Sus scrofa: one gene and its partner. The protein of the gene in region 1 purifies or fractionates together with the protein of each later gene. This does not show direct contact. Links are inferred from orthologs where the notes say so. Each region holds a gene or a part of one and is shown in the gene's direction. Other genes may lie near its edges.

Region 1 (6,010 bases):
TTTTTCCCCTGTAATTAACTCAAAAAAATGCAAAACCATTAACCTTTTCAGCGATTCATATTTGTCATTGAAGTGGATTGTTGACTGTATTTTATGATTGTTTATGTTGATATAGAAAGTGACTGAGACTGAAGACGACAGTGACAGCGACAGTGATGATGATGAGGATGATGTTCATGTCACTATAGGAGACATTAAAACGGGTGCACCACAGTATGGGTAAGTTCTTTTTTTGGTCTTTTTAGGGCCTCATCTGTGGCATATGGAAGTTCTCAGGCTAGGAGTCAAATTGGAGCTGTAGCTGCTGGCCTATACCACAGCTACAGCAACATGGGATCTGAGCCACATCTGTGACCTACACCACAGCTTATAGCAACACCAATTCCTTAACCTACTGAGTGAAGCCAGGGATTGAACCTGCATCCTCATGGATACTAGTCGGGCTTGTTATTGCCAAGCCAGGACGGGAACTCTGGGGTAAGTTCTTAAGTAACAACTGTGTGCTTAAATTAAAGGTAGAGTGCCTGTATCAGACAATTAGTGATTGATTTAATTGTTCTTACACTTTTCCATCTTACCATGATATGAAAGAACTTTTGTTAAAATTTCACCAAATGAATTGCTAAGAGAGGAGGTAAAAATTCTTGTCACCAAAAAAAAATTTGTAACTGTGTGGTAGTAGCTATTAATTGAAGTTATTGTAATCACTTTGCGGTTTATACATATGTCAAATCATTATGTTGTACACTTAAAATTAACTTAGTGTTATATGTGAATTATGTTTCATGATGAAAAGGGATTTCACTATGAAAATACTTTTTTCCTGAAAATAATTAATTAGGTAAAGTTATGTAAAAGCAGCAATTTTTGATTTCTAAAATTGAAATATCTTTATAAATGAATTGAGATTCTTTAAATAGAATTAGAAAACCTTGAATTGCTGTTTACATCTACATTGTTCTTACGTTTTACTTATCCAGATCTGAGTTTAGATTTTTAATTTTTTTGTCCAATAAAAACAATATCAAAAGTATTTCTGTAGTTCCTGTCGTGGCGCAGTGGAAAAGAATACGACTAGGAACCATGACCCCTGGCCTCATTCAGTCGGTTAAGGATCCGGTGTTGCCATGAACTGTGGTGTAGGTTGCACACACGGCTGGAATCTGCTGTTGCTGTGGCTGTGGTGTAGGCCCGCAGCTGTAGCTTGGATTAGACCCCTGGCCTGGGAACCTCCATACGCTGTGGGTGCAGCCCTAAAAAGCATTAAAAAAAAAAAAAGAAAGAAAAAAGTGTGTATTTTTGCTTTTCATAGTGTATTTTTCAAGTGGTTAATTTGCCTGTAGGCTCTTTAGGCTGATAAGTTGTCTCAAGGATTATAGTCTGTAAAGCTGGATCAAGTGAATGGACTATCATGGATGCACAGAGCACATAGAAAGAATTTTACAGGAAGATCCGAAGGGAATAAAGTATAGGTTTAGATTTTGTTATGGTGGTAGATCTTTTCTATTGACGTCTTTTCTGTTTTTCAGAATGGATATATATTGTGGTGCTTGTGCATTGGAAACATAAAATTTTGTTAATTGCACTATAGTTCATTAAGTAGCTTTATTGGGAATGAAGCTGTATAAAGGAATAAGTTGCTAAAAGTCTGTAGGTGTTGAAGAGAAGATCCTAGATGTGGTATTATTTGAACTTGTGTGAATAATTCTTGAGACAAAAGGACAGATAAATTAGATGGGTGATACTATGTATATGTAGTGGAAGCATGGCTTAGAGGATCTTAAGACTAGAGGATAAGGTAGATGAGAAAGGATGCTTGAAACCACTGAAGAGATGGGAGTTAGCATGTTGTCATCATCATGGAACCTTTAAAAGGTTTATAGGCAAGTCACCACTATTTGAAAATATAAACTCTAGCAGTGGTAATTGAAATGGACTAGATAGAAATGAAGTTAACAGCTATGAAGTAATTGTCCACATGGGATGATAATCCAAACTAAGCCAGCAACAGTAATATAGGGATAGATGGAAAAATTAGATATATTTGAGTGAATAATAAGTGGATATAACATGGGTAACAGATTGGTTATAGATGGAGGGGTAGATAAAAGGTGCAGTGGTTTAGAGGTTTTTGGACAGTTCATTGTGTATATAACATTGTATTACCATGTGTAGGTAATGTGGGAGGAGTAGATTAAATTTTTTTCCCTCTCTCCTACCAGCCTATTTTTTATATATTTTTATTTAAAACATTTTTTAATTTAAAAATTTTTTTGGCTGTGCTTGCAGCATACAGAAGTTCCTGGGCCAGGGATTGACCTCGGACCATAGCAGTGAGAACACCAGATCCTTAACCACTAGCCACTAGGGAACTCCAAAAATAAATATTTTGATGTTTTTTTTTTTTTTTTTTTTTTTTTTGACTACAGTGTGCAGTGGTTTGATGTGGGGTCTCAGTTACCAGCCCAGGGTTTGAACCCTGGCCGTAGCAGGAAAAGCGCTGAATCCTAACCACTAGAGCACCAGGGAACTCCCCTTGATAAATTTATTTTGACGTTCTCTTTAGACATTAAAGTATATAGGATATAGCCCCTAGAGAAGCCTGAGACTTCATGGGGGGTTATTGGATGGTATCAGATTTACTTAAGAATGGTTTTTGATGTAGCTAAGCTTCTTTATACACAGCGAGTATGAATGTTTGGTGTCATTTAAAAAATGTTTTAAAAGGCAGAATGGGAAAGGGAAAGTAGAGACATTCATGTAATGAAGTATGATAAACCTTTTATAATATGGTTTTGATTTATCTTTTAGCAGTTCTGTAAGAGAACCATTTAAAAATAATCCTTAGTTTTTTACTTTGACTTTCAAACATCTAGGACTTTTATACATCATGTATAGATATCCCAAAGAGCTTTTGCTGTGCTAAATTTAGATTTTTTTTTTTAATTTAGATTGTTGAAATGTAAGCATTGTGGGGGAGGAACCATGTTTGTCTAGCTGCTCATTCTCTCTTTAGCTTAGCATTATATATGATGTAATGTGGATGCTCGAGCAGTTACTAAATGAATTAATTAGCCAATGAGATGAGTAAACATTTTAAGTAGAAGTAGTGCTTGACAGTAACAGTTTATTTGGGGCTACTTCATACTTCCTGTGTTTATAGCAGTGGAGCTTTATACAAGTATTTGAATATTTTGTTGAATTTATCCTTATATCTTTAAGCAGAATTACCTAGGTTTCAAATTTAATACACTGGAGACAAAAGATGAAAATTATTAGGCAGGTGAAAAGCAGTGCATTTTCACAAGTCCATTTGAATGAGTAGGAGATGAGATGAAAACAAAGCATTTAAACTGTTCTTTCACAGTCAAATTTCTGGGAAGTTTATTACAGTGGGAAATTGAGTTAGTAGCAAGTAGGTTTTTGAGTTGGAAAATTAGACTTTTAAAAAAATACTTGTTTTTATCTTTTTTTAAGCAAGGAACAGACCCTTAAAATTAGTTTAAAACATTTTCTAAAATGTTTGAACTAGTTTCAGTTTATTCAGTTAATGTTTGGGTGTATAATTTATGTTACATACAGAATATATTGCTGTTTTTACTTTAAGTTTCTCAGGATAATTTTTATTATTTTACTTTTAGGAGTTACGGCACAGCACCTGTAAATCTTAACATCAAGACAGGAGGAAGAGTTTATGGGACTACAGGTAAAATTTGTATTTGCAGTTGCATCCATAGGAATATATATCTGAATAGGTCATGAATAGGTTGTAAGCTGTTACAGCTCATTTTTAAAAAGCAGTTTTTGACCATTTTTCATGTAGTGGAGATACTTTCTGTAAAGGGCTAGGTAATCAATATTTTAGGTTGTGTGGGTCACATAGGGTTTCTGTCACGTATGTGTGGTTTTTTTGTTTGTCCTATAACCTTTGAAGAAGTAAAAAATCTTTCTTAGCTCACAGACTACAGTGATTTAGAACATGGAAGTTAGCAACTTCCTTTTGGTATAGGAATCCCTTATTGTGAGCAACAAGTCCCTAATTTCTCTATCCGTTTTAACTTACAGCTATACCATACATTTTGACCTTACTGTTTATTTATGGTAAACCTTGCCGTTTTGTTTAGGATTTTGCCGTATTTTATGCTAACAGTAGTAAAAAGGTGTCAGTGTTTTCTGTTTGTCTGTAGTATCAGCTTCTTTCCAATGTGGTTCCTTCACCATTTTGTACTTTTCTAAAGTAGGAACGAAAGTCAAAGGAGTGGATCTTGACGCACCTGGAAGCATTAATGGAGTTCCACTCTTGGAGGTTGATTTGGATTCTTTTGAAGATAAACCATGGCGAAAACCTGGTAAGATTATTATGGATTATGTCAGTTTAAAAAGATTTTTATTATAAACAGTTATTAGAAAAGTTTTTTTCAGCATCAGTTTAGAATATTATTTTTTAAATGTAATTTTTGTTGTCTTATGAATATCATAATAATGACCTGTATTAATAAATCTTACAGCCTAGCATTACGTAAGAGTAGACTTTGCACATTGTTTTATTAATGCCATTTCTAAAGGAAATAATTCTTTTTTTTTTTTTTTTTTTTTGTCTTTTTGCCTTTTCTAGGGCCGCTCCCGCGGCATATGGAAGTTCCCAGACTAGGAGGTGAATCAGAGCTGTAGTCTCTGGCCTATGCCAGAGCCACAGCAATGCAGGATCCAAGCCGCATCTGTGACCTACACCACAGCTCACGGCAATGCCGGATCCTTAACCCACTGAGCAAGGCCAAGGATCGAAGCCGAATCCTTATGGATCCTAGTCGGTTTCATTAACCGCTGAGCCACGAAGGGAACGCCCTCCATTTTTATTCTTACAGTTTAATATATATTATATGCTGCATAAAAATAGAATTGAAATATTTGCACACTAAAAGTGTGTCTTATCTTTAGGTGCTGATCTTTCTGATTATTTTAATTATGGGTTTAATGAAGATACCTGGAAAGCTTACTGTGAAAAACAAAAGAGGATACGAATGGGACTTGAAGTTATACCAGTTACCTCTACTACTAATAAAATTACGGTAATTAGTAAATATTCCAAAATACCCCAGCCTTTTCTACTGTCCCAGTTTTATTCCCTAAGTAAATCAGTTGTTCCCTATAAAGGTGGTTAAATGCTATGTGATAGTTTAAAAATTCCATTTTACCATGTTTGTTTTTTTCCCTTCCTTCCCTTTCAGAGTTTCATATTAATGATTATCTGATGTTTTTAGTTTCAAGTCACAAACTAGCCACAGCTAGTTTGTCTTTATATGGCCTACAATTAAAATTTATGTGGTATCTTAATGGGGAATATGTTATTTAACTTAGGCCGAAGACTGTACTATGGAAGTTACACCAGGTGCAGAGATCCAAGATGGCAGATTCAATCTTTTTAAGGTGAATTTTAGTAAATTATCCTTGGTTGCTCTCATTTTTTTGTTCTTGAGTCTGCTCCCATACCACTACTCAAGGGATGAGATTAAAGTGGAAATAGCTACCTTTTTTCCAATCCTTTAGCTTCCTGGTGACTTACAAATTTGCTGATTGTTGTTTTATCTCCACTTTGCAAGCATGTGAATTGTAGCCTATTATACTAACAATGCCAAGTAAAACTGTTCTTGCTATATGTTGTGATTTTTATTTTGAGTCATAATGTATGTTTGTTTGTAGGATATAAAAGTTTATGCCAACAGACTAAGCACTCATTGTAGGTCCTGCTATAATCTTTATCAGAATTCGAGACTTATTTTTCCTGATTTTCTGTTAAAAAATAGTAAGGCAGATGGCATACTGCATATTATTTGTATGACACTGAAGTCATTGGTGTAGTGTTTCTTGTAGTTTAAGATGTTTAAGAATCTTAGACATTCTTTGCGAGTCACTGTGAAAGACTCAACAGAATAGGATAAAGCTGTTGATTTTTTAAATTAATACTTAAAAGGAGTAGGTTTAGTAAGAGACTTGCAGGTTGATAAAATTA
Region 2 (6,752 bases), on another chromosome or scaffold:
TTCTCCCTTCTTGTTTGTCCTAAAACGCTTTAGCCACTCTGTTTGTCCATCCTTTGAGCCCATGGTATCTTCAGTAACGGATCAACTTGTACCAGCTATAGTAAGTCAGTTTTAAAATATAGTAGATCTTTTTTTGTAAGATCACCCATACTTTATACATTTTAGCAGAGTCTGCTAAACTTAGTCTGGCCTGATTCAAGTTTAAAAAATGAACACTTCAAGTCCTTTTGTTCAGATCAATAATTCCTAAAGTGGGGGTCCCCAAGAATTAACATCACCTGAGAACTTGTTAGAAATGCAAATTCTCCAGTCCCACCCCTGAAATACTGAATCTGAACTGGGGCAAGGAGATGGTGAGGCTCAGCAATCTGACTCAGCTAGCCATGGGTCTAGGTGGTCCTGATACATGCCAAAGTGTAAGGACCACTAGTTTAGATACTGTCAATAGTAGCAGGAAAGAAACTCAGGATCAGATAATCTGCACACATTGTTTATGAACTTTACAATTTATTCTAAAGCCTATTATCATTTACATGATTGCTACATTTAACACACACACAATTACACATGTAATTGATTTCTAAGTTGCTCTTGACAGAAAATGTGTCAAAAAGTCATGGCCATCTCAGCAAAGAGATGGTATGAAAAGGAGACAAATGAACCAAATGAACTTGTTTTCAGTTTTTCTGAAAGGATATATTCCTCAACTCCCCTCCACTTCTGCCCTACCTCAAATAAAAGAATCAGGGGGAAATAAAATTTACTAGCAATAAAAATACTTTATCACTTGTGGTTGCTGATATAAGTTATCATATATCTTGAATGGATAGCCATTAAAACCCTTAAATGAATAGCTACAAGCCTTGTGTCCTATTTCTTTAAAGTAAGAGGCTGACTCCAGGAGATAATGACTAGGAAGTGTGAAGATGTAGAAACAAAGAATAGCTGTTAGGCTGGGTGACTGGTAACTATTAATTAATAGTTAATTAATTAGTCTTTTTAGGGCTGCAGCCAGGGCAAATGGAGGTTCCCAGGCTAGGGGTCAATTCAGAGCTATAGCTGCTGGCCTACACCATAGCCACAGCAATGCCAGATCCTTAACCCACTGAGCAAGGCCAGATATCAAACCTTCAGCCTCAGAGATGCTAATCAGATTCCTTTCTGCTGAGCCACAATGAGAACTCCCCAAACTGGTAAAAATTTAGATGGTAAATCTGCCACATAGCAGAATCACCAAACTCACAATTCCCTGAAAGATACAGATAAAGGCCGGACGCACAGGTCCCTAGGTTGTTTCTTTAGGAAGAATACATACACTCAGGTGGAGGATGGCAACTTCAGGCTAGGCAATTACCTCACCACCTACCAATCAGAAGAATGTCTGATCAGACTCTGTCCCTTGAACAATTACTCTAAGACTCTTCACTACCCTCTCCAGGGTGGGACACGATCTTGAAGGCATTAGCCAGCTGCTGCCCCCTTTGCCTGGCAAAGCAATAAAACTGTTCTTTTCTGCTTCATCCAAAACTCTGTCTCCAAGATTCAATTCAGTGCTGGTGTAGAGGCCAGGATTTGGCTACACTATGTCCAAGGCTATTTTAAAGAACTATTAAAACACTTGAAGGTAGGAGTTCCTGTTGCCGCTCAGCAGGTTAAGAACCTGAGTAGTATCCGTGAAGATGCAGGTTCGATTTCTGGGCTCACCCATCAGGTTAAAGGATCTGGCACTGCTGTGAGGTGTGGTGTAGGTTGCAAACAAGGTTCAGATATGGCGTTGCTGTGGCTGTGGTGCAGGCCTGCAGCTCCGGCTCCCAATCTACCCCTAGCCTGGGAACTTCCATATGCCACAGGTGTGGCCCTAAAATAAACAAACAAACAAAACACTTGGCAAGGTAAATGGATGCTTTGTAGCTAAACCCTCATACTCATTTTATATCTATGCATTGAACTATGATACCCAAGAGACAACATTTTTTTTTTTCTTTTTTTTTTTTGCTTTTTTTGGAGCCACACCTGTAGTATATGGAAGTTCCCAGGCTAGGGGTAGATTGGGAGCTGGAGCTGCCAGCCTACCACACAGCCACAGCAACAGCAATGCCAGATCTGAGTCGAGTCTGCCAACTACACAGCTCATGGCAATGCCAGATTCCTAACACACGAAGAAAGGCCAGAGACTGAACTCACATCCTTGGGTTCATAATTGCTGAGCTACAACAGAAGTCCCTGTAACACAATTGTTTGGTGAAACAAAGTTTCATAATCCCCTCAAAGGCGCATATAGAATAAGATGATTCTCTGCTTAAGAGTTAATAAAGCTTAGGCTGAAACAATGCAGTCCTCAGACATGCAACAATCTATATAAGTAATTTTAATTTTTCTAAATAACCACATTGAAAAAATGGAGTGATACTTATGTTAAAATATATTTTATTTAATCTAATGCGTTAAAATATCACTTCAACATGGAAACAATAAAAAATATTTGTTTTTATACTTAGTTTTCAAAATCTTGCACTCATTTTACAAGTATAGTACATATCAATTAGAATGCTAAATTTTAACCGAAAATAATTTTTAAATTTAATAAATTTTTATCATTATAAAAGCTTCCCTATCATAATAGAAGTGGTGAAATCATTGCTTCAGTTTATAATAATCAGAACCAATCTAAATGCCTCCCAGTATAAGAATGGTTAAATTTAATTTATACTCTGTAGCCAGAAATATTATTAATAGTAATACTGGTTAATGTTATTAATAAAAAATATTATTATGAATATAGTTCGACTGCCGAGTGCTTGTACAAAGAGAAACTTGTAAGGGCCAGACACCTATCCACAGCGGTTCCCTGAAGCTATGAGATGGGGGTGGGGATGGAGCTGGCGCACGCTTTCGGCTTGCATTTCTGTGTATTTTCCAAAAATGCTCTTCTAAAACGGAAATATTATTTTGTATTTTAAGAAGCAAATCCCAAATTTTCTTTGAAACACGACTACACTCTTCCCTCGTTGTCTGTACTGTGATTTTAAATATAGCTTAATTACACTATAATACTGCTATTTGGAAATACTTGTATCGGAAAGAACACACCGCCTTAGTCGCTTTCAGTTAGCGGTTTCCCGCCGGGCAAACGGAAGCAAAACCGCCCGTGACGTCACGGTAGGCGGCCGCTCCTCGTTACCATGGTGAAGTCTACGCGGCCATCTTTACTGTGGTCCTCCCGCACTAAGCTTTTCCTGGCCGAGTTGGTACCGCGCGGTGCAAAGTCTGTAAAAATAAGAGGTGAGAAGGGAATCTCGCGCCTCAGTGAAAGTCCAGGGGCAGAAAACGTTAGTTTAGTTACTGGAACGTAGAGGTGTAAGTGCCACGGACTAGCGGAACTATTTCAGCAGAGTACTGCTGTTTCCGCCCGGATTCTGAAAACCGCTTCCGTTGCTCGGCGGAAGTGTGGGTCGCCAGAGGACGGCTCTTGGAAGAATCCGCTCTCCGGCGTGTGTGCACAGCCGGAATCATGTCGAGTTTGGCGGTGAGAGACCCGGCAATGGATCGATCACTGCGTTCCGTGTTCGTGGGGAACATTCCGTATGAGGCAACTGAGGAGCAGTTAAAGGACATTTTCTCCGAGGTTGGTTCTGTTGTGAGTTTCCGGCTGGTATACGATAGAGAGACGGGAAAACCTAAAGGTTATGGCTTCTGTGAGTACCAAGACCAGGAGACCGCGCTTAGTGCCATGCGGAACCTTAATGGGCGGGAGTTCAGCGGGAGAGCGCTTCGGGTGGACAATGCTGCCAGCGAAAAGAACAAGGAGGAGTTAAAGAGCTTAGGGCCTGCAGCCCCCATCATTGACTCTCCCTATGGAGACCCCATCGATCCAGAAGACGCCCCCGAATCAATTACCAGGGCAGTCGCTAGTCTCCCCCCGGAGCAGATGTTTGAGCTGATGAAGCAGATGAAGCTTTGTGTCCAAAACAGTCATCAGGAAGCTCGAAATATGTTACTTCAGAACCCTCAGCTGGCTTATGCGCTGTTGCAGGCACAAGTAGTGATGAGAATCATGGATCCAGAGATTGCTCTGAAAATTTTGCATCGCAAAATACATGTCACACCACTCATCCCAGGCAAATCTCAACCTGTCTCTGGCCCGGGCCCGGGCCCTGGCCCTGGCCCTGGACTCTGCCCAGGACCTAATGTTCTGCTGAACCAGCAGAATCCTCCAGCCCCTCAGCCTCAGCATTTGGCCAGAAGACCTGTGAAAGACATCCCTCCTCTGATGCAGACCCCTATCCAGGGTGGAATTCCAGCCCCAGGGCCAATTCCAGCTGCAGTTCCTGGTCCTGGCCCTGGTTCCTTAACTCCTGGCGGAGCCATGCAGCCCCAAGTTGGAATGCCAGGGGTTGGTCCAGTGCCCTTAGAGCGAGGGCAGATGCAGATTTCGGATCCTAGAGCTCCTATGCCTCGTGGACCCATGGCTCCTGGTGGCCTACCTCCTCGAGGACTGTTAGGAGATGCTCCAAATGACCCGCGTGGAGGGACTTTGCTTTCAGTCACTGGAGAAGTAGAGCCCAGAGGCTACCTTGGGCCACCTCATCAGGGTCCTCCAATGCACCATGCCTCTGGTCATGACAGCCGTGGCCCTTCCTCACATGAAATGAGGGGAGGGCCATTAGCAGATCCCAGACTGCTCATTGGAGAGCCCAGAGGACCCATGATAGATCAAAGGGGTCTTCCTATGGATGGTAGAGGTAGTAGAGATTCTCGAGGAATGGAGGCTCGAGCCATGGAAACTGAGGTCTTAGAGACACGAGTAATGGAGAGAAGAGGAATGGAGACCTGTGCATTGGAAACCAGAGGAATGGAAGCAAGAGGCATGGATGCAAGAGGAATGGAGATGAGAGGCCCCGGCCCCAGTTCGAGAGGCCCTATGAGCGGCGGAATCCAGGGTCCTGGTCCCATCAATATTGGGGCAGGTGGTCCTCAGGGACCCAGACAAGTCCCAAGCATTTCAGGGGTGGGAAATCCTGGAGCTGGCATGCAGGGGGCAGGTATGCAAGGTGCTAGCATGCAGGGGGCAGGTATGCAAGGCGCTGGCATGCAGGGGGCAGGTATGCAAGGAGCTGGCATGCAGGGAGCAGGTATGCAAGGAGCTGGCATTCAAGGGCCAGGCAAGCAAGGTGGAGGCCAGGCTAGCAGTTTTAGTCCTGGGCAGAGCCAAGTAACTCCACAGGATCAAGAAAAGGCAGCTTTGATCATGCAGGTTCTGCAACTGACTGCAGATCAAATTGCCATGCTGCCTCCTGAGCAAAGGCAGAGTATCTTGATTTTAAAGGAGCAAATCCAGAAATCCACTGGAGCTTCTTGAAAGATTTTGAGAACATATTTGGCAGTAATCCCAGAAAAGTTTTCTGTAATATAGAGAATGGGTGGGTGCAAAAAGCTGACTTCTGCATCCCCTCACTTGAATGATTAGGGTTTCCTTCCTCCTGGACCCTAATCTCATCCCTTGTTTCTTTCTTTCTTTTTTTTTCTTTTTTCCTTTTTGTAATTGTGGGATAGGGGGAGGTGGGAGTGGGTCTGTTCACTTCAATTCACTGTAAATACACAAAAATAACTAAACATGGTTATACCAATAAGATTACAAAGATTATACAGCATTATTGAAAAATGTCTACAATGTGTTAACTACATTTTTAAAATTCTTAGTAAAACAATGTGAAAACTGCACATAAAGATAAAAGATAATCTGTTAAAATGTTAATGTACTAAGATAGTTTAAGATGTTTGGTTGTATAAGAAAATGAAGTTTACCTCAAAATTACAAGATAATATTTTTTGTTAAGCTATTTAAAATACAAAATCCTATTTTGGGGTCAACGGAATGCTGTATTAGGTTAAGCATTGTTTCAGAGTTTGGCATTACTTCAGAACATTAGAGCTAACCAGCTGAGTCTCATCTTGTGGTATTGGAATTGTTTTTTCTGAAGCTGTGCTACCTGAAAAATCAAAGAGTGCATCTGGTGTGGTATTTCATTTATCCCACCCTTTGAGCAATATTTTGGCCAGGCCCTGGGCTTGATGATTTTGCTGGGACAGTTTTAGGGTCAACCAAGTTATTTAATTCTGCTCTGATGAGACTCTGTATCTCTCAGTACCTTCCTATTTCTCAGTCTTTTAAGGTCTAAATGTGAATCTGAATAATTCTCTCACATCCTTCCCCAAAACTGGAGTCTAGGGACCAGTTGTTCTGGATGAATTATACACAACATTGGGCTTTTCATAAATAGTGGGGGACTTCATGCAGTGTTAGTTTCCTGGTAACTAGCTTCCATACACAGATGGTATCCATCTGGTCAGCCAGAATCAGGAGTTAAAATCTTAGTCTCAGCAACATTTAAAATGCCTTTTGGTTTTCTTCTTTCAAAAATCTACTTTTTTGTCACCATCTTAACAATAATTGAGGCCCAGATAGGTAGAGATACTCTTAAAGCCTGAACTGTGCTGAGTTGGTTATTACTCACTTTTCTTTTACAAGTAATAAAGCTTTTTAGTCCTAATATGCATACCTATGAGACATTTAAAAATGTGTAGGAAGGTGGGGCTTATCACAGTTCCTTCAGAGCTACTGCTTCATTTGTTCTTAGGCCTAGAGGATATGGAGACTTAAAAATTTGTATGATAGAACAAGTAGTAATTAATAGAAGTATAAATACCCAGATAACCAGGTGATATTGACTCTGGAGAAGAAATAATATCTA

What was found.
Region 2: the proteins of FIP1L1 (region 1) and CSTF2T purify together in Homo sapiens (co-immunoprecipitation; 3 studies listed by BioGRID and IntAct, with this or other methods). This does not show direct contact. The link is inferred for Sus scrofa from reciprocal best matches to the Homo sapiens genes FIP1L1 and CSTF2T.

Annotation. Positions count from the first base shown.
Region 1 is NC_010450.4:40,166,491-40,172,500, forward strand, and holds part of FIP1L1 (pre-mRNA 3'-end-processing factor FIP1), read left to right. Parts: intron 1-115; coding exon 116-219; intron 220-3,641; coding exon 3,642-3,706; intron 3,707-4,238; coding exon 4,239-4,349; intron 4,350-4,938; coding exon 4,939-5,069; intron 5,070-5,358; coding exon 5,359-5,427; intron 5,428-6,010.
Region 2 is NC_010456.5:98,102,325-98,109,076, forward strand, and holds the start of CSTF2T (cleavage stimulation factor subunit 2 tau variant), read left to right. Parts: upstream 1-2,632; 5' UTR 2,633-3,511; coding exon 3,512-5,359; 3' UTR 5,360-6,752. UniProt on the Homo sapiens protein: May play a significant role in AAUAAA-independent mRNA polyadenylation in germ cells. Directly involved in the binding to pre-mRNAs.